4 linked regions of the Caenorhabditis elegans genome follow. The protein of the gene in region 4 interacts with the protein of the main gene of each other region in a pairwise test. Each region holds a gene or a part of one and is shown on either strand. Other genes may lie near its edges.

Evidence for each region.
Region 1: the proteins of prkl-1 (region 4) and wee-1.3 interact in a two-hybrid assay, tested with the Caenorhabditis elegans proteins (one large-scale study listed by BioGRID).
Region 2: the proteins of prkl-1 (region 4) and F35A5.8 interact in a two-hybrid assay, tested with the Caenorhabditis elegans proteins (one large-scale study listed by BioGRID).
Region 3: the proteins of prkl-1 (region 4) and toca-1 interact in a two-hybrid assay, tested with the Caenorhabditis elegans proteins (one large-scale study listed by BioGRID).

Annotation. Positions count from the first base shown.
Region 1 is NC_003280.10:9,713,214-9,718,341, forward strand, and holds wee-1.3 (Membrane-associated tyrosine- and threonine-specific cdc2-inhibitory kinase wee-1.3), read right to left. Parts: upstream 3,255-5,128; 5' UTR 3,250-3,254; coding exon 2,994-3,249; intron 2,923-2,993; coding exon 2,414-2,922; intron 2,366-2,413; coding exon 2,018-2,365; intron 1,969-2,017; coding exon 1,831-1,968; intron 1,785-1,830; coding exon 1,471-1,784; intron 1,406-1,470; coding exon 970-1,405; intron 922-969; coding exon 889-921; 3' UTR 524-888; downstream 1-523. Other genes in the region: Y53C12A.6 (uncharacterized protein), read right to left, coding at 4,265-4,324, 4,386-4,503, 4,552-4,562; Y53C12A.11 (PRE_C2HC domain-containing protein), read right to left, coding at 4,651-4,786, 4,833-4,912, 4,959-5,128. UniProt on the Caenorhabditis elegans protein: Acts as a negative regulator of entry into mitosis (G2 to M transition) by phosphorylation of the CDK1 kinase during oocyte maturation.
Region 2 is NC_003284.9:3,799,542-3,805,446, forward strand, and holds F35A5.8 (SH3 domain-containing GRB2-like protein B1), read right to left. Parts: upstream 3,924-5,905; 5' UTR 3,796-3,923; intron 3,351-3,795; exon of another isoform or gene 3,239-3,350; intron 3,231-3,238; exon of another isoform or gene 3,229-3,230; 5' UTR 3,212-3,228; coding exon 3,149-3,211; intron 3,090-3,148; coding exon 2,948-3,089; intron 2,881-2,947; coding exon 2,746-2,880; intron 2,693-2,745; coding exon 2,559-2,692; intron 2,417-2,558; coding exon 2,324-2,416; intron 2,246-2,323; coding exon 2,207-2,245; intron 2,067-2,206; coding exon 1,977-2,066; intron 1,925-1,976; coding exon 1,824-1,924; intron 1,694-1,823; coding exon of another isoform or gene 1,645-1,693; exon of another isoform or gene 1,191-1,644; intron 1,151-1,190; coding exon 1,054-1,150; intron 955-1,053; coding exon 853-954; intron 784-852; coding exon 679-783; 3' UTR 504-678; downstream 1-503. Other genes in the region: abu-10 (Activated in Blocked Unfolded protein response), read left to right, coding at 1-101; F35A5.2 (uncharacterized protein), read left to right, coding at 5,604-5,657, 5,705-5,789, 5,836-5,900.
Region 3 is NC_003284.9:1,518,466-1,523,130, forward strand, and holds the start of toca-1 (Transducer of Cdc42-dependent actin assembly protein 1 homolog), read right to left. Parts: upstream 3,023-4,665; 5' UTR 2,930-3,022; coding exon 2,897-2,929; intron 1-2,896. UniProt on the Caenorhabditis elegans protein: Plays a role in protein trafficking, actin organization and embryonic morphogenesis. Potentially acts as a cdc-42 effector. May play a role in hypodermal P-cell nuclear positioning.
Region 4 is NC_003282.8:6,983,887-6,988,881, forward strand, and holds the start of prkl-1 (LIM zinc-binding domain-containing protein), read right to left. Parts: upstream 3,050-4,995; coding exon 2,840-3,049; intron 2,662-2,839; coding exon 2,419-2,661; intron 2,324-2,418; exon of another isoform or gene 1,890-2,323; intron 1,449-1,889; exon of another isoform or gene 1,297-1,448; intron 1,024-1,296; exon of another isoform or gene 870-1,023; intron 662-869; exon of another isoform or gene 311-661; intron 186-310; exon of another isoform or gene 1-185.

The sequences.
Region 1 (5,128 bases), on a different chromosome or scaffold from region 4:
CAAAAAACGTTGCCCCGAACCAGGATCGAACTGGTGACCTCACGATCTTCAGTCGTGCGCTCTCCCAACTGAGCTATCGAGGCGGTGGTGTCTTTTTTTCAAAATGCATATAGAAGCACTTGTAATTTCTTTTTAAATTCTGAGGGTACGAGATTTTTTAATGACGGTTTTTATAGTCAAATTATTGCTGTTCTGTTGTAAGTAAAAGTTAAAACAATATATAAACTTTTGATAAAGGAAGTAGGTTTTACGATGTTTTCTATAGTTTTTTTTTTTGTTTTTTTGTGTAGTTTAAGAAGTAATTAATATTCCTATCGAAATAAATCAAAATGGCTATCAAAAGCTGTGGGAAATTTTTTTGTACTGTCCTACCTCCAGTACTACAAGAACAGGTTTTCTCTCAAGACCCTCTCGAGTTTATATTACACCAGACATATGTGTAATCGGTTGGTACCTACTTTATTCAATTCGAATAAATTTGGATTCTGTATGAAATGGAGAAATTAAAAAAATATACGTAGTTCAGATAAAATACGTTTTATCTTCAATTTCAGAAAAGAAGGACATAATGACAAGTTGTGTGTCTGTGTGATAATGGTAGTGCGATATGGTCGAGAGGGGGAAAGATTTTACAAAAAGACGTACAAAAATACCAGAAAATAAGCACCCAGAAGAAATAGTAAATAAAATTCGAGTAATGACACATTTGTGAAGAGATGGTCGTCAAGGGGGAAAAGAAATCAATCAATAACTAGTGAGAAGGACTACTGTAAACAGGCATAAAACCTAGGGGAAGTGATGATGGGATGAGAAAAAGTAAGAAAAGTACGAGATGCTAATAAATGCAAAAAATAAATATTCAACAATTTTTCTGATTTTTGTGCATTATTAAACCTCGTCGCCTGATGATCCAAATGACATCTGGAAAAAAAACATTTAATAAAAATCATTTAGCGTAAAACTACTAACCATTCTATTACGAGGCACAGGCTTAGCCCCTCTATTTAATCTTCTACGTGGCGATTCCGATTGCTCCAAAATCGTATGATGATCAACAGTCGGTTTATTCGATGGCTCGTCGAGAACGTTAAAGTTGAGAACAGGCATTCTCGGTAGATCACGAATGCTTCTTCGGATTCTTGGCGGACAAGACATTGGTGGTGGAGCCTCGTCGATCACATTATTCTGATCTGCCCAATCTAACTGTTGCTCGGTGAGTCGCATTCGGAGATATTTTTCCGTTCGTTCTTGATCACTAATTGGAATTAGAGAGTTATTACTAAATCCATCTCCAGATCCAGTGTGATGATTATAATGATTTAGCGACGATTTCGGTGCAACTGACGCGGCTACTTGACGATGACGGTTGAAAGTGAGATTACGACGAGCTGATCTTGGAGTTCCTCTGAAAAATAGCAGTTGGTAATAGAGAATCCAGAAACTTTTTGAATATTTAACAACAAAACCAACCGTTTTCCAAGTTTATCAATAACATCGTTCATTCTCGGCGGACTCTCCGGTTCATCCAATTGGGGCTCAATAGCTGAAGAGTTTGATGATGAGCAAGTCGCCTGTTCCTCATCGTCATCTTGATCGTTATCAAAGTTCAAGCGACACGGCACTGCACCAGTGAACAAACGGCGTTGCGCGTTTGGTGGATTCTCATCATCGGAAAAATCGAAAGGAGACACAATTTGAGATGCTTGGCGAACAGCCACTCCAGTAAGAGATTCCAAATAAACTTTAGAAGTCTCTGGAGTTTGGATGGGAGTGTGCTGCTGATTCTGAAAAATTCGAGTTGATAAAATTTTGGGTAAAAAAACTTATTACATTGACAAATTGCGCACAAATTTCCGATTGCCGGTCTTTAATTGCAGCATGGAAGCGAACAATAGGATGAAAGAGCACCGAGAAGAAAGCCATTACCCAGACAAGAACAGCACTGAAGGCGTAGAAAAAGCCGTTAAGCTGAAACCAGTGATTGTCAAAATCCCTCATTCACAAAACTATAACTTACAATTGAAATGCATTTTACATAGGTTCCACGCTTCATGAGCTTCTTCTTGATTACCGGATGATCAAGCAAATCTCGACTTGTTGGACGAATCCTCGGATCAGAGTCAAGCATCAAGGCAATTAAACTGCGAAGATCTGTAGAAATTCCAGCGAAGAATCTATCAGGAATCTGTCCATTTCTGATTTGATGCCACGAATCTCCATTTGATGGAACGTCAAGATCAGTAGTAGCCTCAAGAATTGTCATTCCTAGACTGAAAATGTCTGATGATTTCGTGGGACGGCCGTTCAAAACTTCTGGAGCAAGATATTTCGAGTCACCTTCTTCCGCTGATTTCACATCATTTGGCTGAAAATCGATTGAATAAAATCAGAATATTAAAAAGTATGAACTTACATTTTTAAGGTTAATAACCAAACCAAAATCTCCGAGTTTGCATATCATGTCCTTTGTAAGAAAAATGTTTTCCGGTTTAATATCATCATGAATCATGTCGTTCGAGTGCAAATGATGAACAGCTTGGAGCAAATCTACGAAAATATTCCAAATTTCGTCCTCCGGTAGTGCATGTTTCTCTGTACAATATTTCAAAAGACTTTGATCGCAAAGTTCTGTTTGAATATACAATCGACCAGTTTCCTCCCAGGCTCTGTAGAACTTGACAAGATTCTTATGCGGTGGAATGATCATATGGCTCTCAGCTTCTCGGTACTTGGAAATTGAATGTTGCCGGATCGGAGCTAACGATACTTTGACAGCATACAATTGGGAATCCTCACGGCATCTGGCTGCGAATACTTCTCCGAACGAGCCTCTTCCAATGATTTCATCGATTTGAAATACTTGTTCAAAGAATGATTGAGCATTTGTATGATCGTACTTTGGCGATTCCAGTGGTTTTGGTCCTGAAAAAATGCTTGAGATGTGTTGGGTTTATCAAAAATAATTAATGTTTAAAATAATCAACTCGACATACCCTGCGGAGTGACCAAAAGTGGGACCGACTCCTTCCGAACAGACCAAATGCTTCTTGTTGGTGGCATAGTTTTTATCATTTTCGGAGCTGGACGACGGAAACGTGGAGTAATTGCTTGGCGCTCACGTTTTGTGGAAAGTGGTGTCTCACGCATCATCATCGGGATTTGTGGTAAGCGTGGAGTGACCTGTGGAAGTGGACTTGATTGACCATTTCGAATGGAATCCATCGAGGAGTTACCCTCTGTGTCGTCCATTTTCACTGAAAATGAATAAATTAATCATACGCAGCGGAAAAAAGAAGGAAGGAAGGTCAAAGAAAATAAATAACATGTTTTATCAAAATTAATATCGACAGAAATTTTTTAAAATAGATTTTTGCGGTGCAGAGAAGATGCTAAATAGAGAGAAATCGATAATAACGTGTTTGGAACGTTTTCAACTAAAAAACCTTTTGATTTCTGAGAGTATATTGGAATTAACATTGAAATTACTATAATAAGATAATATTAGTATGAAGGAATGAATAATCAATTAGGCGGAGGCGACAAAACAGCGAGAAAACAAACAATTCTGCCAACGGCGATTGCAATTCAAAACAAGCGCGCGAAAGAGGAGAAGACACATTGTGCAAACACCGTGGCGCTCAAATGCAGACTAGACAGGGGAAAACAGCGGGATATTCAAAAAATAATTTTAAATATGGTGTTCAACCGGAATGACCAATTTTGCCGAAGAAAGGGTTCAATATTAAACTGTAGTGGGTCTTCTATGAGCGATATGAGACAATTTATCTGCTAGATATGTTTTGTAGTTTGTAGTCTAGCAGACCCAAAGAAAAATAGTGTTTTTTTAAAATTTCAATAATAATAATGTGAATTACATCACGTTAAACAAAATTTCAGTAGCTTGGATCTGTCGGACTATTTACATACTACAAACCGGTTTAGCAGATGAAAACTTTTAAGACTCTCCGATACGGCCTGTCAATTCAAGAGCAATCATCTACCTAAACACCGCAGAAAGTCAGATATACAGCATTGAAAGTAGAACAAAGGGAAATAAAACAGGAAAATTTTATAAAACAGGAAAATTTAAGAGTTAAAATTTATTTTACCAATAGAATTTTCATATTTAATAAAAAAGTGGGTGCAATAAGCAATCAAACCAGCGAATAGATTTTAAAAATTACACATATTTGCAATGGTTGGGGTTTAAAGAAATATTATAATACATGGTTTTAAATTAAAATGGGATATTTGACAAATGAATTTAAAAATTATTTTCTTGAATTTCTGATGTTGAACTAGAAATTGGTGGGCTCTCGCTTGACTGAAATTGGATTATTGCGGATTGTGCTGAATCGTTTTCTCATGGTACAAAAAAATCTGACCTCTTTGAACAACTTTTTGATCGATGAATCGTTCAGTGCGCGGATCAAAGCAGCATGGTCATTGAGGGCATCATTGAGCGTTGGTGTTGGATACGGGATGACTCCTCTGTCGTTCATTCTGAAAAATAGCAATGATTTTATAATTTAGATGAGAAAAATCAATTACTGTGAAGCCATTGCCACTGCTTTGGCCAAATCAAGAGGATCCAGCTTGTACCAGAAGAACTCTTGTTTGCGCTCCTTTATTTTCTTGCAATCGAAAACATCAATCCAGTTCTCGTCGTTGATTTTTTTCCAAAATTTTTGCGGAATCCTTTGGGGAAACGGTGAACGCGACGGCCGATCGACTTTCATTTGCGACGCTTTGAGCGATTGGATCCGAGAAGATAAACTCTTTTATCCTAAAATAAATGTTGTAATTATTTCATTTTTAAACCAAATATTCACCCCAAGAAACGAAGAATTCTCGTCGCTCGCTGCACCACATGTTTGTCCCTGATGTTCAGCATCATGAAGTGACTCGCCATCTGAAATTTAAGTTTGTAATTCCAATTTGGACACTTAAAGAATTGCCAAGTCTGGCCGCTTTGCCGGATTCGCATTATCGGCATTTTCGTGAGTGATTTGGCGTTTCCTTCCTCGATTCACAGCTGGGAAAGTTTGCGCTGATTGCAGATTTTCAGATTGTTGAATATTCCGAGGGAAGGACGCAAGTTCTTGGCGATCCAATTTTGTATCGAGTA
Region 2 (5,905 bases), on a different chromosome or scaffold from region 4:
ACCAATGCGTATGCCAACGCGGATACGTCAAGTGCGCCGAGCAGACCTGCTGTCTTAGATACAGATACACCAACCGCAAGGCAAAGCGATCGATCGCCTAAACGAACTCATTTCTGACCATGTCTTTCTTTTTCGACTTCACGCAAACTATTTGTACATTTCGGTAATATTATTGCCATTACATAAAGTAGTTTTATATTATTTCCTTTTACACAATGAGTATATGCAATGAAGATATAAATGAAAAAATGATTAAGAATCATTTCTATGATGTTCAAATTACCAATTTTCGTCTAAATTACAACAAAATCACTGAAAAAGATTTGAGAAAAATGCAATTTTCTTTTAGGAAACTCTATTTGAAGTTTGAAAACCAGAAGATTTTCACAAAGGGTTGGTTCTATCATTATCTAAAACAGCAATCGTAGAAGAGATTTGAGAGTTTTCTTCAAAACTAAACTTTTTATATTGTGTTCAATATTGTTAACGAATTTTTGATCTTTAAATTTCCCATTTATTTTAAATCTAAATAACCTATACAATAATAAGCGCATTTGAGGAGTCAAATAAATAGACACATTTCAATTGAGATCTTCCACAATAAATAAGACACCTTACTAAAACATTTTTGGCACATGAACAAAGTACTAAGACAATAAATTAATGAATGCAGCGTTTCTAGAGCAGCTCAATATAGCTGACAGGCAATTTTCCGCGTTTTCCTCCTTTTTCAGCCATCACATATTCCGCATCCATTCCAGGAAGGCGATACACGATGAGAATCTGCAACAAGAGCAGACGTAATTTCACACAATATTTGGTTTCAATAGGGGTCCTCCTCTCAAGACTCACATCATTCTGGGTGACGCTGATCTCTTGTGGCAGCACTGCATCGTAGTCCATGATCACTTTGGCTTGCTTGGTTCCCAAGTCATCCGGCAGTAGGCCACTTGGCTGGAAAATCAGTAATTTGAAGAGATGTTCGTGATGGGAAATAATTGAAAATCACTGGAACGGAAACAACGCTTTCCACGAAGTTCTTCCCCAACTAACCTTGGCCGCCGCTATTGCCGCCGCCATAGTCCTTCCGTTTGGCGGGTCGCCACTATTGTTCACCAGTATTGCCGAGCTTCCGCGAAATGACATGGTGCTGAAAGCAATTTCCTTAAATCTGGGGACAATGAAAAAAGTTTGGCAGAATAGAGAAACATTTATTTGAGTTCAAATCGCGTTTCGTCGTTGTGTCACACATACTAAGACATTCACACAGCAACTGTGACTAGAAGAAGCCGATCAACGGCGGTTGGGGGGAGAATTGAGAGTAAGAAGAAAAAAATTAAACATACTAATTATGCTTATCGATTGGTGGAAATGACCGGGAGCTGTTAAAATATGAAATACATTACAATATAATACATACAGAATACATTGAAAATTTAAGAATATCGAAAACTTGAGCTAATATTGAATTTCTTGGCGAATTTGAATGACACTGGATTACTCAGAAGGAAGTAATGTTAAGTAAAAAGAAAGAGAAAGAGGAGAGAGAAAAAATAATATATAATCAAAATCGATTAAATTTGAAATAAATAGGGAGTCAAGATCACAATCACGAGTGGCAAACATAAAATCAAAGTTCGGGAGTCACTCGTCGTGTCGGTTTCCGTAGTACATCGGTGAATCGGCGAGAGAACTGAAATATTTGCATGACACGTACATTCACTACAACGAAATAAAAAAAGCAGTGGCTACCAAATGAATTGCTAGCGGGAGACGCATGCGACATGAAAACTAATGAGCCTAATTTTGAAAGAGAGACTTACCCGCTCAATTCCCGCTGCAAATCGGCCATGAGTTGATGAGACTGAGCATAGAAAGACATTTGTGCCTCGACAAAATCACGAAGACACTTCAACTGATTGTTCTGAAAATTTTTATACATTTTAAATTGGAAAAATCCCATTTAAAAAACTAACGTGTGCGGTTTGAATTCCTTCTAGCAACAATTTGGTAATCTCTGATTGCTTGTCAAACTCTGCTTGAGCAACACGCACGTCCGCCTCTGCCTGAAACTTGTGAAACGTTTCAAAAGTTTCAAAATATAATGTTTAGATATGTAACTAAAAGTTTATAAAGTACATAGAAACGGGAGGAATAACCAGACAATAATGAAAACCAACAGTGTTACAACATTTCTGAAACAAACCTGCTCAATTGTAAACCCTCCAGAGGTTTTACTATTCGTCTGAAACAGTTACTTTCTTTTTTAGATTTTTATTTTTAGAAAATTAATTTTTCACAAATTAAGAAAAAAATCACTCACCACTGTCTGAAGATCTACAGTTTTTGCTTTCTTGAGTCGGCTTTTACATGCATCCAAATCGAGACGCTTGCTGTTCAGCACTTTTCTTTCTTTCTGAATTAGATATTTTTATTGAAAGCGGAAATATATTTATGGCGCAGCTGGCCTGAGGGCAAGAATAATTTGAAATGCATTTACTAAATTTTTTTAGCAAGAGCTCATGAATAGTGCAGCTTGGAAAAGAGGAGTCTCTCACCTGAATTGTTTTCATGTCGCCTTCCAAGAATCTTCTAATAGGGAGCAAAGTATTTGTGGCCGCTTGTCCACACAATTCCCGTTCCGCTTGCCCAAGTCGGTTTTCCGTTTGAGCCACTTTGAGGAGTGCAGATCCTGAAATTATTGAGTATTATATGTCTTATGAGGAAACAAATTAAATAACTAACCATATGGAGTGGTCTCTCCGAACTGCTCTCCAGCTTCGGTCATCGCTGTTGACAACTGCTCGAGATTATTTTGCCGAATAGCACCATCCTTTTTCAATTCCAATTTTTCATAGAATACTTCTTCCATGCGAACGGCTGCAATAGATAAGTTCATTTCTCAGGTCTTTTTGCAAAACATAATATCTTTTTCGTGAATACTAACTGGGATTTGGCTGCAAATAACCCTCAATTGCAGAGAGGAGACGGCGAGTATGATCTTCTGTCTTGTCGGCTCGCTGTAGAAGGTTCTCAAAGTGGGAGTCCAGTTCGGTGCGCTCTGCTTTCAGGAATGTTTCTTCGGTGAGCTGGAAATTGAATTTTAAATGTATGGGATTTCGAAGGAATTCGTAAAAAAATGACCAACCTGCTTAGCTCTGCTAAAGAATCCTCCAGCATCACTGGCTATCTTTTTGAAGTTAAAATCCATACTGAGTTTTCAACAATCTGAAGTTTATCAAAATTATTCACAAAAGTGCGAGAAAAAACAAAAGAATGGAAGCTGTTCGAACGGATCTGTGAGGGGTGCCCCGACTACGACGGACGAAATTACTGGAAAACGGGGCTGCTGGTAAAGAAGATGGCGGTGAGGAGGGGAGGGCCCCTAGCGGAAAATCGATGCGAGACTGCGCGAGTCGTGAAGGGAAAGGAAACGAAAAATGACGGAACAAGTGGGAAAGGAGAGAATTTTTGAAAAAGAAGCGAAAATGGGGGGAAAGATGCGTGCAACAAAACGCAAGAGGTCGTTCATCTTTCTCAACATCCGTCCTCCAATTTTTTTGGATTTCGTTTTTTTTTTCTGGTAAAATGATGGCATGTTACACTTTTGAAGAGAAGTTTGTTACGAGCAATCATATTTTTAAAAAAAGTGCACATATTTTTTATTATTGAGTTTGAGTGCTTTGAATAGGAGCTTGATAAAGTATCACATTGATTTTTGGAGTCATGCAGTGGATGTAAACATTTTAACTGTTATTTTTAAGCAACCCAATAGTATTTTTCTGAAAAACTTACAAAAAAAGCTTAAAATATATTTTCTAATAATAATAATAATAAGAAGAAGAATAATGAATGAAAATATAACGACTCTTATGGGAAATCGTATTTTCTAAACACAATAAACAATAACAATGAGCTCGTGGTGAGTAATTGAATAAAGTGAAGACAAAAGAAGCGCACGCACGAGAAACGCGTCAGCAGCCACTGCATTGACACACCCAATGTGTGGGTCTTGTCTCTGAATTGCAATGAGTACACAAAAAGAAAGACATACGGATGAGACACAAGAAAAGTAACACACTTTTCGTTTTCAAAATAGAGAAAAAACAACGAACATTTGTCTAGTTTTGGAGAATAAGAATATCCGATTTGATTGTCTTCTTCTTTTTGAAATACTGCTGAAAAATTAGTGTAAAAATGGTCTTAAAAAAGGTTTTTTTCGGTAGGGCAAAAACATAACAGTATTTTTTTAGTAAAACAAATAGCCCAAAAATATAAGTTTTTTTAAAATAACATTACCCGAAAGATTAATGGTGATTTTATTCGGAAATGGAAATAAGACTAGACGTCTAAATGGATTACTGATATAGAATTTGTTATATATTTTTCAGAGAAAAGTCTAATGGTGATGTGTTAAAAAGTTTTTTGCAAGTGTGAAACGTAATAAATTATACTACATACATTAATACACTTGGTGAGCTGTAATTATGATAACCTTTTTAGAAAGATGTGTATTTAAAATTTTGTTAAACATGATTGCATTACTTTTTTGAAATTTATTAAAGAAAATTAAATCCTCAACGACAACAAAAAACGTTTTATGCATTATTCATTCAAATTGGTAAGAAATAATAAGATGAGCACAGACACAAACTTGAGACTAAAAATAACGTCGCTTTGATTAAAAAATACGACGAGCAAAAAGAGAAAGTGTTGCGTGAATAAAACAAGGAACAACAAACTATTCATTTCAAAACACACCACTGTTCAAAATTAAAATTTGACACTGCAAAACATTCAATTTTGCAATTGGTAGTGTTGTTGGGAGAGCAAATAATAGACATCATGTTCAATGGAAAAAAAAGAGTTTAATTGTAAGCTAATTTTGTTTTGTTTTGATTATTATCTTTGTTCTTGAAGTATAGTAGCAACAAATATCGTAAGATTCCAAGACGTTGCGGGAGGTTGAAGTCGCTTAGAAAGCTTTTTTTCTAAACCTCATAGTTTCATCGTAAAATTTTTTAAAAATGTTAGTCAGATATCCAATCAGTCAACCCCTATTATGAACACCACAAAAAAACACGGTTTTTTTTATAGTGTCCCTTAAATTTTTACATTTCAGGTTAAAATGGACATTTTATAATACCGTATATTCCTGTTTAATTTTGCTTTTGTTATTAACTTTCCAGTCGAAATTTCTAATCCAAAAATAGCATTTTAATTTATTTCTCACACGAATTTACATAACTTGCATTCATTACCAATAAAGAAAAGCGATAACACCCGCTGTGTTTTTAGCTTCTCGGTCGATTACAGTACTTAGAAATCTAAAAAAAACATTAGAAACACTAATTGGGAAACTTTTCCATCAGCAATTCTCCATTTCCGTCCCAAATTGGTAAACACGATTTTTTACAAGCGCCGATGTTTGATCTAATGAGTCAATTTTTGCAGCCAACGAACTCGGTTGCTTCAGATGTTCAAATACGTGTTAACTTGCATGTGCCACGAAATATAAAAACGAAAATGGTTTGAACAGCTTGTGTGGGAAAGTCGTCGAAAACGCGTCGGGATAGCATCATTCAGCCAGTTGTGTCAAAACGATGAACGCCGTCTCGCTTGCTCTCTTCCTTATTCTTGCCGTTTCCATGATACAGGTATTATTGAAATGTGCAACTTTTACAGGAACTTGTCTATGTTTTAGGGTCTGACTCTGGTTATCAAGAAAAACCGCAAGTACAACAATCCACCATTCTGCTTCGCCTACAACAGAGAGTACAATGATAATGGTAAATTTTTATATTAGTTTAAGGTATCTAAATCAATTTTGTTCAGATGTGACTTCCTCCTGCTCCGGTTATCAATTTGATTGCTTTGATTCAGCTGGATCCCAGATTGGAGTAAG
Region 3 (4,665 bases), on a different chromosome or scaffold from region 4:
AAAACTCAAACTTTGCAGAAAAAAGGTGCGGTGAGTGTCCAAGGCGCGGCGTCCTAGAAACTATCGCCAGGACGGAAGGGCGCAATCCGAATGCAATGTGATCTACATATACAATGAATTGTCGACCCCAACACCGATTGACGACGCGACTAGAAGAAGAAGAAGAAGTTAGAAGGGGGAGGAGGAAGGGAAAATGAGGGGAGATGAAGAAAAATGGTTGTAGAATTGAAATGGATTGACAGTAAGGCTGAAGAAGTAGGGGGGAATGGGGAACGGAAGCAGAATGACATTTTCGTTTTGAAATGTTCTCGGTAACTTTTCGACTATTACAGAAATTTTTCTCAGAAAACTTGAACATGGTGCATCAGGTAAAAAAATCGATATTTTTTGAAGGAGCAGCAATAATTTTGTCTAGAAAAATAAATCCGAACATGGTGCATCGACTGGAAAAGTCCGATAAGTTTGGCGGTAAAACCTGAAAAATATGTGAGAGCCAAAGAAATTTTTTGAACATGGTGCATCGGACAAAATTTGTCATAGGAAATGACGTTCTTTTTGGCATTTTATCATATTTTTTCAAACAGAGAAAAAATTTCACTTTACTAGCACAAATTTTGAATGAATAATATACTGATAACCCTTAATATGTATGTAAAAGTGACAAGTTTCAACCGTAAACTTAAAAATTGCTAGTGTAGTTTTCAGTCGATGCACCATGTTATAAAATTACATCCAAGGTTACAGGGACCCCACAAAAAATTTTCTTTTTAAAAAACCTTCTAATCTTATTGATAATTCCCTGCTAAACACAAATACAATCACAGAAAGTACGATTTTGGTGCCGAAAAAGGGAGAAAAAGAGAGTGAAGCTGTGTTTATTTGCGCTTTCCGCCCTTCCCCAACTACCGCTTTTGCCTATTAAATTGGCGAGAAGTGAACGATAAGGAAAGAGCGGAGAACCGACGATCAGAAAGTTTGTGCAATTTTATTAATAAAACTGTTCGGAACCATTATTATATTAAAACCAGGGCTCCCATGTAGGCGCCGCGATCCGACATTTTTTGGGTTTCGCGCATTGCTATTAAGATTTCGGATCCCGGCGTGAGGGCGGCGTTTGCGGCACCCACATGGGAGCCCTAATTGAAAATTTAAAGAGTAAATCGATAGAAAATCCAATTTTCAGAATTCATTTCTCAAGTTACATGCTCTCAAATTTTGAGCACTAGAAATTGAAGACAGTCTGCACTCTCCCCTCGTCCCACACTCTCTCGGCTTTAAGTTCTATAAGCTTGTATCTCTGCGGTAGATTACTGTTATAAACGACAAAAAACTGGCTGAAGTATTGGGAAAATTTGAAAGAAAAAAAATTTTGCTGTTTTTCTGAATCAAATTCAAGCACAAACTGATATGTTCAAAAAGATGTGTCATACTGGCATTTCTGAAATGTTCACAATTTTTCTGTAAACTGATAAGAAACTTTGGCGAAAAAAAAATCGGATTTTGTAGTTTTTAAGAGAAGTTTTTGAGAGAGAGTAGAAAATTAATTTTTTTGAAATCAATTTTTAAAAATACAACGTCTTAAAAAAGTAGGCATAATCAGTGTGAACGGACCAATTTAATAAAAAAAAATGTTTTTAAAATATATTATAGAAATTTCCACTCCATTTTTGAATTTTAAAATTAGAGCGCATTTACCAAAACATACTAACGTGCGCCCAGCAAACCCACTAGGTAACCCTGTTTTTTAATTCTGCGTCTCTCTCTCTCTCTCTCTCTCTCTCTTTCACTCTCTCTATACACCTCCCGCCACTCCTTATTAGTATCCACCTCTACATTAGCAACAAATGACTAATTCAAGTGTGTTCGGAGGGTGGGTGAGCCGCTTCCGCCGTTACTTTGTGATCGCCCGCCACCCCCCGATCTTGCTTACAACTACTAAATTATGTATGCGGGAGACGAGAAGGTATATGTGATATGCGAAAATGTATGTAGGAACGAGTAGAAATGTTTGGTGGGGGGGAGGGGGGGGATCATTAGATTTTATTAAAAATTTGAGAAAAATCCAAGGATTTTCCACATCGAAACTATAAAATTGCACTAGAAGTTGGCAAACGCCAAATTTCAAATTCATCCGAACTTTAGAAATTTCGGAATTTTACCGAATTTCAAAAAGTATCGGGACCGCCCATCTGTGATCATGCCAGTATCAGTACCCCAATATCGATACAAATGATATTATGGTCCGACATCTAACGGGTTTCGCGCCCCACCCAGGCAATTGCAAATAAAATATAGTGCGGCGCAAAACCCTGCGGACGTCTTGCCATGATATCAATTGAAATCCCTATTTTTGCATATTCCCAGAAAATAATCCTTAAAGTGGTTGGGCCCGGAATTTCGTCAAATTTTGGAGTTTTGAAACTGCGGCGGTCTCGAAAAATTCTAGGTTCTGGAAATTCGTGGCGTGGGTGCTTTAGAGCTGTAACAGAATTTGGAAAAATTTTATATTTCCAATTTTTTCCAAATTAGGCATAATCCTGGTATCTTGGAACTTTGACATATTTTTTAAAAGTTCAGCAATTTGAAGCAGCGCCCAATTTTGAAAATCTGAAGTTTCGTGCCATTTTTCTCATTTTGGTGGAAACCTTCTAACCTTTTCACAGTGTGAAGTGCATAACATTACAATTTTAGGCACATATGTACATACTTTTAATCAGTAGATTTTTTGAAATGTTGAACTAGGAAAAAAGGAGGATTCACGGTTTAGAATCGTAAAAAATTCAGCTCAACATTTGGTGATTTTGGCCATTTTTTTAGACCCGCGGTTTTTTCATTTTAGTAGCCTGTTTTCTTATTTTAAATTTTAGTTTTTACCAAGGATTCAATAAAAACTTACCCATAGCTGGTCCCAACTGCAACTGTCGTTCATTGTTCGCCGCTTCTTCAAAAGGTTGTTACCATCCAATCCAATCTCGATTCCTTCTTTTTATGAACACTAATTGGAACTTTTTCGAGTTGAAGTCTGAAAAAAAACTCAAAACGTTAACAGCAATGAGCAGCACAAAAAAGATCCGAACAAACGAGAAGGAGAAAAAAATTGAAAACTTTAGTTCGTAAATAGGAACAAAAACAGTAATCTAAGCTGTTGACGGTTGGGCGTGTCGTGGAGCAAAAATGGAGAGCAATTTGTGGTTGGTGCTCATGGCACCGGGAGGCGGAAGGAAGCATAGGTATAATTGTGGGGGCTCAGGAGGGGGGGGTAAATTTTTTGTGGAAGAGCAGAGTATTTGGAGTGCTATGGGAGGTTGAAAAAAGGTGGAGAAAATTATTGCAAAATTGAGAAATTAATAGAAAAAATCAAGCTTAATCAAAAAAAAAACATTTCGCTAAAACGTGCTAGATTATTCGAAAAATCGGAAAAAGTTTAATAGCCGAAAATGGCCTAAAACCTCCAATTTTCAAACTTTTCCATATGGTATAGTTCACGGTTACCAGGTACCAGAAATTTTCAGCTACCGAATTTACAAAAATAGCATCAGCAAATAGTGAAAAAATTAAGAAAATCAGCAAACAATTTTTCACTTATTTCCGTTGAAACAGGCTAGACCCCAAAGAAACATTCCAATCCCAAATTTATCCGAGAACAGCAACACAGAAAAAAACAAGATAGGCGGTCACGAGAAGTGGGGTCCGCGGTCAGCTCGAGCACCCAGCTCGAGCTGCAGCAGCTCGGACCTCGAAAAGTAGCTCCCAAGAGAAGAAGAAAAAGAAGAGACGCTATTTCTCGCCCAATAGCATATGTATACACATGTGTGCGTCTGCGTATCTTGCTATCTAGGATAGACCTCGGGGTCCCGGGGTTTTCGGAGATATTGATGAGCGAAAAATGAAGAGTTTACAACAATACGCACGGCGCGAGATACCTAGTCTAATCAATTTTTTTCGAATTACGTTGAGGGAAATCTCGTAATTTTGAGTCTGAAGCTAAGCCTGAAATTAGGCCCGAGCTTGCCTAAAAGCTAAAGGGTAACCTAAAAGCTTAGTCTGTACCGAGGGACTCAGTTTTTGAAGAAGGGCATTAAGCTAAGAGCGCAGCCTAAAGGCTTAGACTTCAGGTGCCCAGCCATTACTTTGGGCTTCTTTGGGGCTTGGCGTTCGTGGGCTCAGAATTATCCTTCAACTACGGGGCTTAACCTTCTTGGTCTCAAACTTTGAAGGATGATAAGCCTGACCTCAAGGATTTTAAAATAAGCCTAACCTCAAGGAGCGGAAAAAATGGAGATGCGGCTTTCAAGGGCTCAACCGCCTAAATGCCTAAATAAAGAAAGTAAAAGTTAGCCTAAATGGCTTAGTTTTTGAAGGCTCAACTTTCTGGGTCTCCACTTTTTGGCCCTGACATATATTTTAGCCTTAACTTCACCATCTGCCTTGGCCCGAAAAAAAAAAAAAAAAACCTAAAGCTGACTAAAATATATATATATATACTGGTTTCAAAGGACTTCCAAAAAAGCCCTACAATCACTCTCAGAAAAAACTACCCAAAAAATGCTATGCTTGTCGTACCCGACGTTTCTCAAGGTAATATGCAAAACAGGCCTCCTTTTGTCCCCCCTCCTGCCTCGCCAATCTTTCCATGGCCAAACGCAAAAGTTCAAGTGACCCGCC
Region 4 (4,995 bases):
GGACTAGATTACAAGATAAGTAGCAACATTATACGGTCAAGTGCATCCTCCAGCCGGTGGTTCAGTTTCTCCATGTGTTTCTATAGTTATGTAAATACAAGATGGTATGCCCCTACTGCTACCCTCTTGACCGTCTTAGAATCTTTGTTGGTAGTTGTAATTTAAATTTATTTTTAAGAATCAAATATTTAAATTCTCAGTTGTTTAAAGTGTGCACATTGTGAATTTTCTCTTCTGTTATAAGTTAAGTAACCTCCGCATTAACAACAGACATGTACAACCATAAGTTGATAAGACCTCGCGTCTAATCTGACAACCAGACACCTAAAATTTTGAAATGGATTAGGCAACAGACACCTCTAAACAGAAAAACGTGACAGGGTAATCCTAGGGAAAAACTGCCTGTCTTCTGCCTACGCCTGGGAGGCACGTAGAAAGGTAGTGAAGACGTACCTACCTATTTCACAACTTCAATACTTTTGTTTTCCAAGTTCTTGTACTCAGCTAATCCTCAATATTCGGCGATAATTACTTGTAAACTATCAACAACTAACAAGTACCCTTGACACGCACACGGGTAACAATTGGAACTGACACATCCAATTCAGAAAACAACATGACACTGCCTGAATTGTCTACAAAAGGCAGATGTTCCCATGTCTCCTAATTCAGGTCTTCAAACCAGATACTTGGAGGGGCAACCAACTGGGCGAAGGGTATCAAATGCGCGAAAACCCCTGACTATGAGAGGGATCCTCTAAGAAAAGTGATTGATGACATGGTAACATGGCACCCAGGAAGACCATCTGTTCGGCACTTCCCTTCCAAAAATATACTGTTTCTTTCACCCTATAATTGACTTCTTGCTTTCCTTCTCATTTTCCTTGTTAATCTTGTTATGAGTAGTGTTTAGATCAAAACGCCCCGCGCGCGCATATCGGAAGAAGCTTTGTTTGATCTACCTACCATCTACCCATGACCGGATTAGATTAACACTGAGACGGCTCTAATCAGATTATAACTCAATGAACAAACTAAAGAGAACGAGCAGAAGGAGCGGAAATTGAGTATATTACTGTACATAACATTTACATTTACTAACTTAAGCTAGACCCCTAGCAACCCTTGGAAATTCAAAAGCAAAAATTCTAAATTCCTAAAACGAAAATCCAAGCTAACCCCAACAATGAGCCCCGTTGTCTCTCCTATTAATAAACATGTAACGATGCATAGGTAATTAGCAGTGACTGCTGCTGCTCAGCTTCTCCTCTGACAAACAGCCGGAGCTTCGTAGTAAAAGAAAGATGGATGAACATTGACAATAATTGCATATTGTCTATGACTCTATCTCTGTTTCTCTATTTCTCTCCAATATTTAGATGTTGCAATAATAATTGCAGACAGTCGGTTGCCATTGAATGAAATTATCGTCAGTGGAGATTTATTCGAAATCCACTTATTATAACACAAAAAACCACATATCATAATTTAAATACTTCAAAAATGTTCAGTTTTTTCAAAGTTTCAGTTAAAGTATGGGTGTATTGTTTCAAAAAATGTTAAAATTTAAAAAAATAAATTTTGAGCATAGTTTCGTACTACTAGAATGTTTAAATAGCAGGTTCGTACAACTAAAATGTTTAAATACAAACGATTAAAACGAAATTGGAAACTCGTAGAAAGTATTTTTGAACGCCTTCCAAAATTATAGTAATGAAAAATGAGTTTTTCCCACTTTTTGACTGTATGTAAAATAAAATCAAAAATTTATTTGAACATTTTAACACTATACATAGAAGCTTTTTTTACGGTACTGACGATACCTTCAAAAACGATATCAGAAAATTAAAAAAAAAAGGTTTATTTTTCGACGAATTTTCATGATTCCATTTGTCCCTTTCAAGTTGCTGCAACTATTCTCATGCCGTACAAAAATCTAACACCTAAGCAGCTGGCTTCCCCCATCGAGGTCAACAACCTCTTCTTCTCATTCTTCAGAACTTTTTTGCCGCACTCTCGTAAGTGGGACTATCCGAGAGCAGACGGCCCTCGCCGTTGTTAATGAGCATGACCTTTCTCAAATTTCCGTCATTGTTTATTCTCAAGTGTAAGACAGTGCCTACACGTTGGGAATGCAAAGGCAAAAAGCCGCCCGACAAAAAAGAAGCCGTGAAGATGATGATGAGGAGCATCCCAGCATAAGCATAGATGATGGTGCGCGGAAAGAGAGCGCTCGCGCATAAAGATTTATGAGTTTTGGGGATGGTGCGGAAAGACGAAAAAGAAAATGTTGTTTATGGTTTCATACGCCACAGTTTGGCAAGATTTACGGTTGTGCTCAAATGGGTCGAATGTCATAATAAGGCCGGGTGACGATTTTTCAATAAAACCAAACAAATTTTGATGGAAAATACTAACCTTTTCACATTTTGTATCAAATGGAGCATATTGAACAACACCACTTCCCAGGCATTCAGTTTTTCGAGTTCTTTCAAACATTCGCAATGTATCCGCTTCTTCTGCATTTAAATCTTCACAATATCTAACATCAGAATCCTGTGGTGGTAGTTGATAACGTGATTGACGTTGTCGCCATTTTTCTCCAGCTGATCCAATGAATGGTACCTTGTTTTCCGGGAGACAGGCGAAGTAGGCATGAACCTGTAAGAATTTGAATTTGAATTTGAATTTGAATCAGTATTTGAAGTGCACAAAAAACCATCTGTTTTGAACGGTCCACAGGTTGTGAACATTTTAATTGGTCTAGGTTTTGGTGTTCAAAAACCTAATTCAATTGTTCTTTATTGCACACGAGATCATTCAAAATCTCTATACTTACCATATTCGGCTTCAGACCACTAGGCACCCATGCATACTCGTCCAAAGCACATCCACTGTCATCATCAGATGTTGAATGCCTGTGAGCATCAGCTGCAATTCGGATTCTCGAAGCAGGCGATAGACCACCTTGAGCTCGACGTGATGAGATGAGCTGCGGTGCGAATTGCTCCGATGCTTCGAGACGACGACGGCGAATTCGTTCGCTCATCTGAAATAGGGACTATGAATTGAAAATAACACATTTTCATAAGAGAATGGCAAATTATACGATAAAGTTGAGGTTGACTTGGAAAAAAAGAAAAATAGTGTATGCAAAATCACTTCAAAAAAGCCTCCAAAAAAGGGTGTGTTAAGTGTTAAGTGTGAAAAGAAGACCAGTCCCTCTCTATAACCTTTTTGCTGCCATATAAAAATGTCAATCACTTTGGCAACACCATCACCATCATCCACAAAACTAGACCGGTCTCTCCATTGCCCCGTAAATCCCCACGACGACATCTGACCGTTTCATTTCTCATTTCACTGCAGAAAAGGACATCGTCTTCTTCGTAATGTTGATTCAATTAGAGAAAAAGATTCCGAAATCTTCAACTAGAAGACGACGTCCCGTTGAAGAATGAAAAATAGTAAAGAATCGGGAGACGTGTGTTTATGCTAATTTGATATGGCCTTGTAATAGAGGAATGACTGTTTGCCGTCGCGCACGCCGCCCCGTTTTGTCTCTGTCATTATACTGGTAATAACGGAAAAGTGACGGTAACTAATGGATTAATAGGAACATCTCAAAGGAAGAACTTTAAGATCTCAACGAATCTAAAGTTTTACTGTTGATTCCGACTTTGCGGTAGTGTGTTCGCAAAAAAGTAATAAAAGTAACAAAATTTACCATGATAGTTCCTGTGCATTTTAGAATGTGAAAATTACATACGCTTCATAATTTATATTTGAAGCATTATTCTATTATAGAGATTGTGGCAAGATCCATCAAGAGGAGTAGAAGACACCTTTAAAGTCTCACGTCATGTTTTCACAAACTCTCGGTACTTGAGGATATTTTTATAAACTATTTTCTAGGTCCTTTGGAAGTATTAGTGTTTTCACAAAATTTTATTACTGTTTCAAGGTGGCCATAAATTGCGAGGGTAATGTTTTTGAGTAATTACAACTGTTATTTGTTGTTAAGGAAAAAATTGCTGGCACAATCTTTTGAGAAAAATAAAATGAGAAAAACGAGCCATGAAAAAACTATTTCGAATATTCAAGTAACTCGAGCTTTTGTGAGAGCGGAGAAAAATTATTGTAAGAAAATATAAATGTGTGTTGGAAAAAATATAGGAAGGCGTAGAATGCCTAGTTTGAAAATTTCTGTAAAGATGAAAATGATTTCTGCTCAAGCTCTTGTAGCAGTTCTGAAATTGCCATCACTTCACGATTTCAATATTGAACGCAACAACACCCTGTACTACCAGAACACCAGAATGTGTATAGCGTACAAAAAATGACTCATTTTGCGGTAAGAATGAAATTGTGAAAATTGAAAACTTAAAACAAAAGTGAAACTAATGTGGAGGGCGTTGACCGGAACCGCATGGAATATCTCCCATCAGAACCCAAAAGCTACAAGGATCCTCCCACATCAACTAGAAGGGTGAGACGCAGACCGAGAAGCAGTATTTTGAGGGCGGGGTTAACAGTCTTACCGCATGTGTTTATGTACCCCTCATCTCGGCCAGGAAGGGTCTATATATGTGTGTGTGTCTATGGGTGACAGGTGTTATGATACATCGGTACTAAAGATGTTATCGGTTAGAGATTGGAAGTCCCTGGAGGGTATTGGAGTTGGTTTTAATCTAATAGAGGTGAATAGAGTTGCGGTAGATCAAAAGTTGAGGGCTCTTTTTCAAGTCTTAGATGTAATGATTAGATTACTATTTAATTATGAACTCTTATAAGATACTAAGATACTAATTATGAACTCTAATTTCCGCTCTCAAGCCTGCTCCAACAGAATTTCAACGCCTATTAAAACGGTAATAATTCCAAGAAGAAGACCGCACAAAAAAGCGACGCATTGAGGACAGGGGCGCAATGGTGAGGACCGAACGAGAAAAGACAATAAATCGTTTTTGACACTTTTTTGCGTCGGTGCCCTAT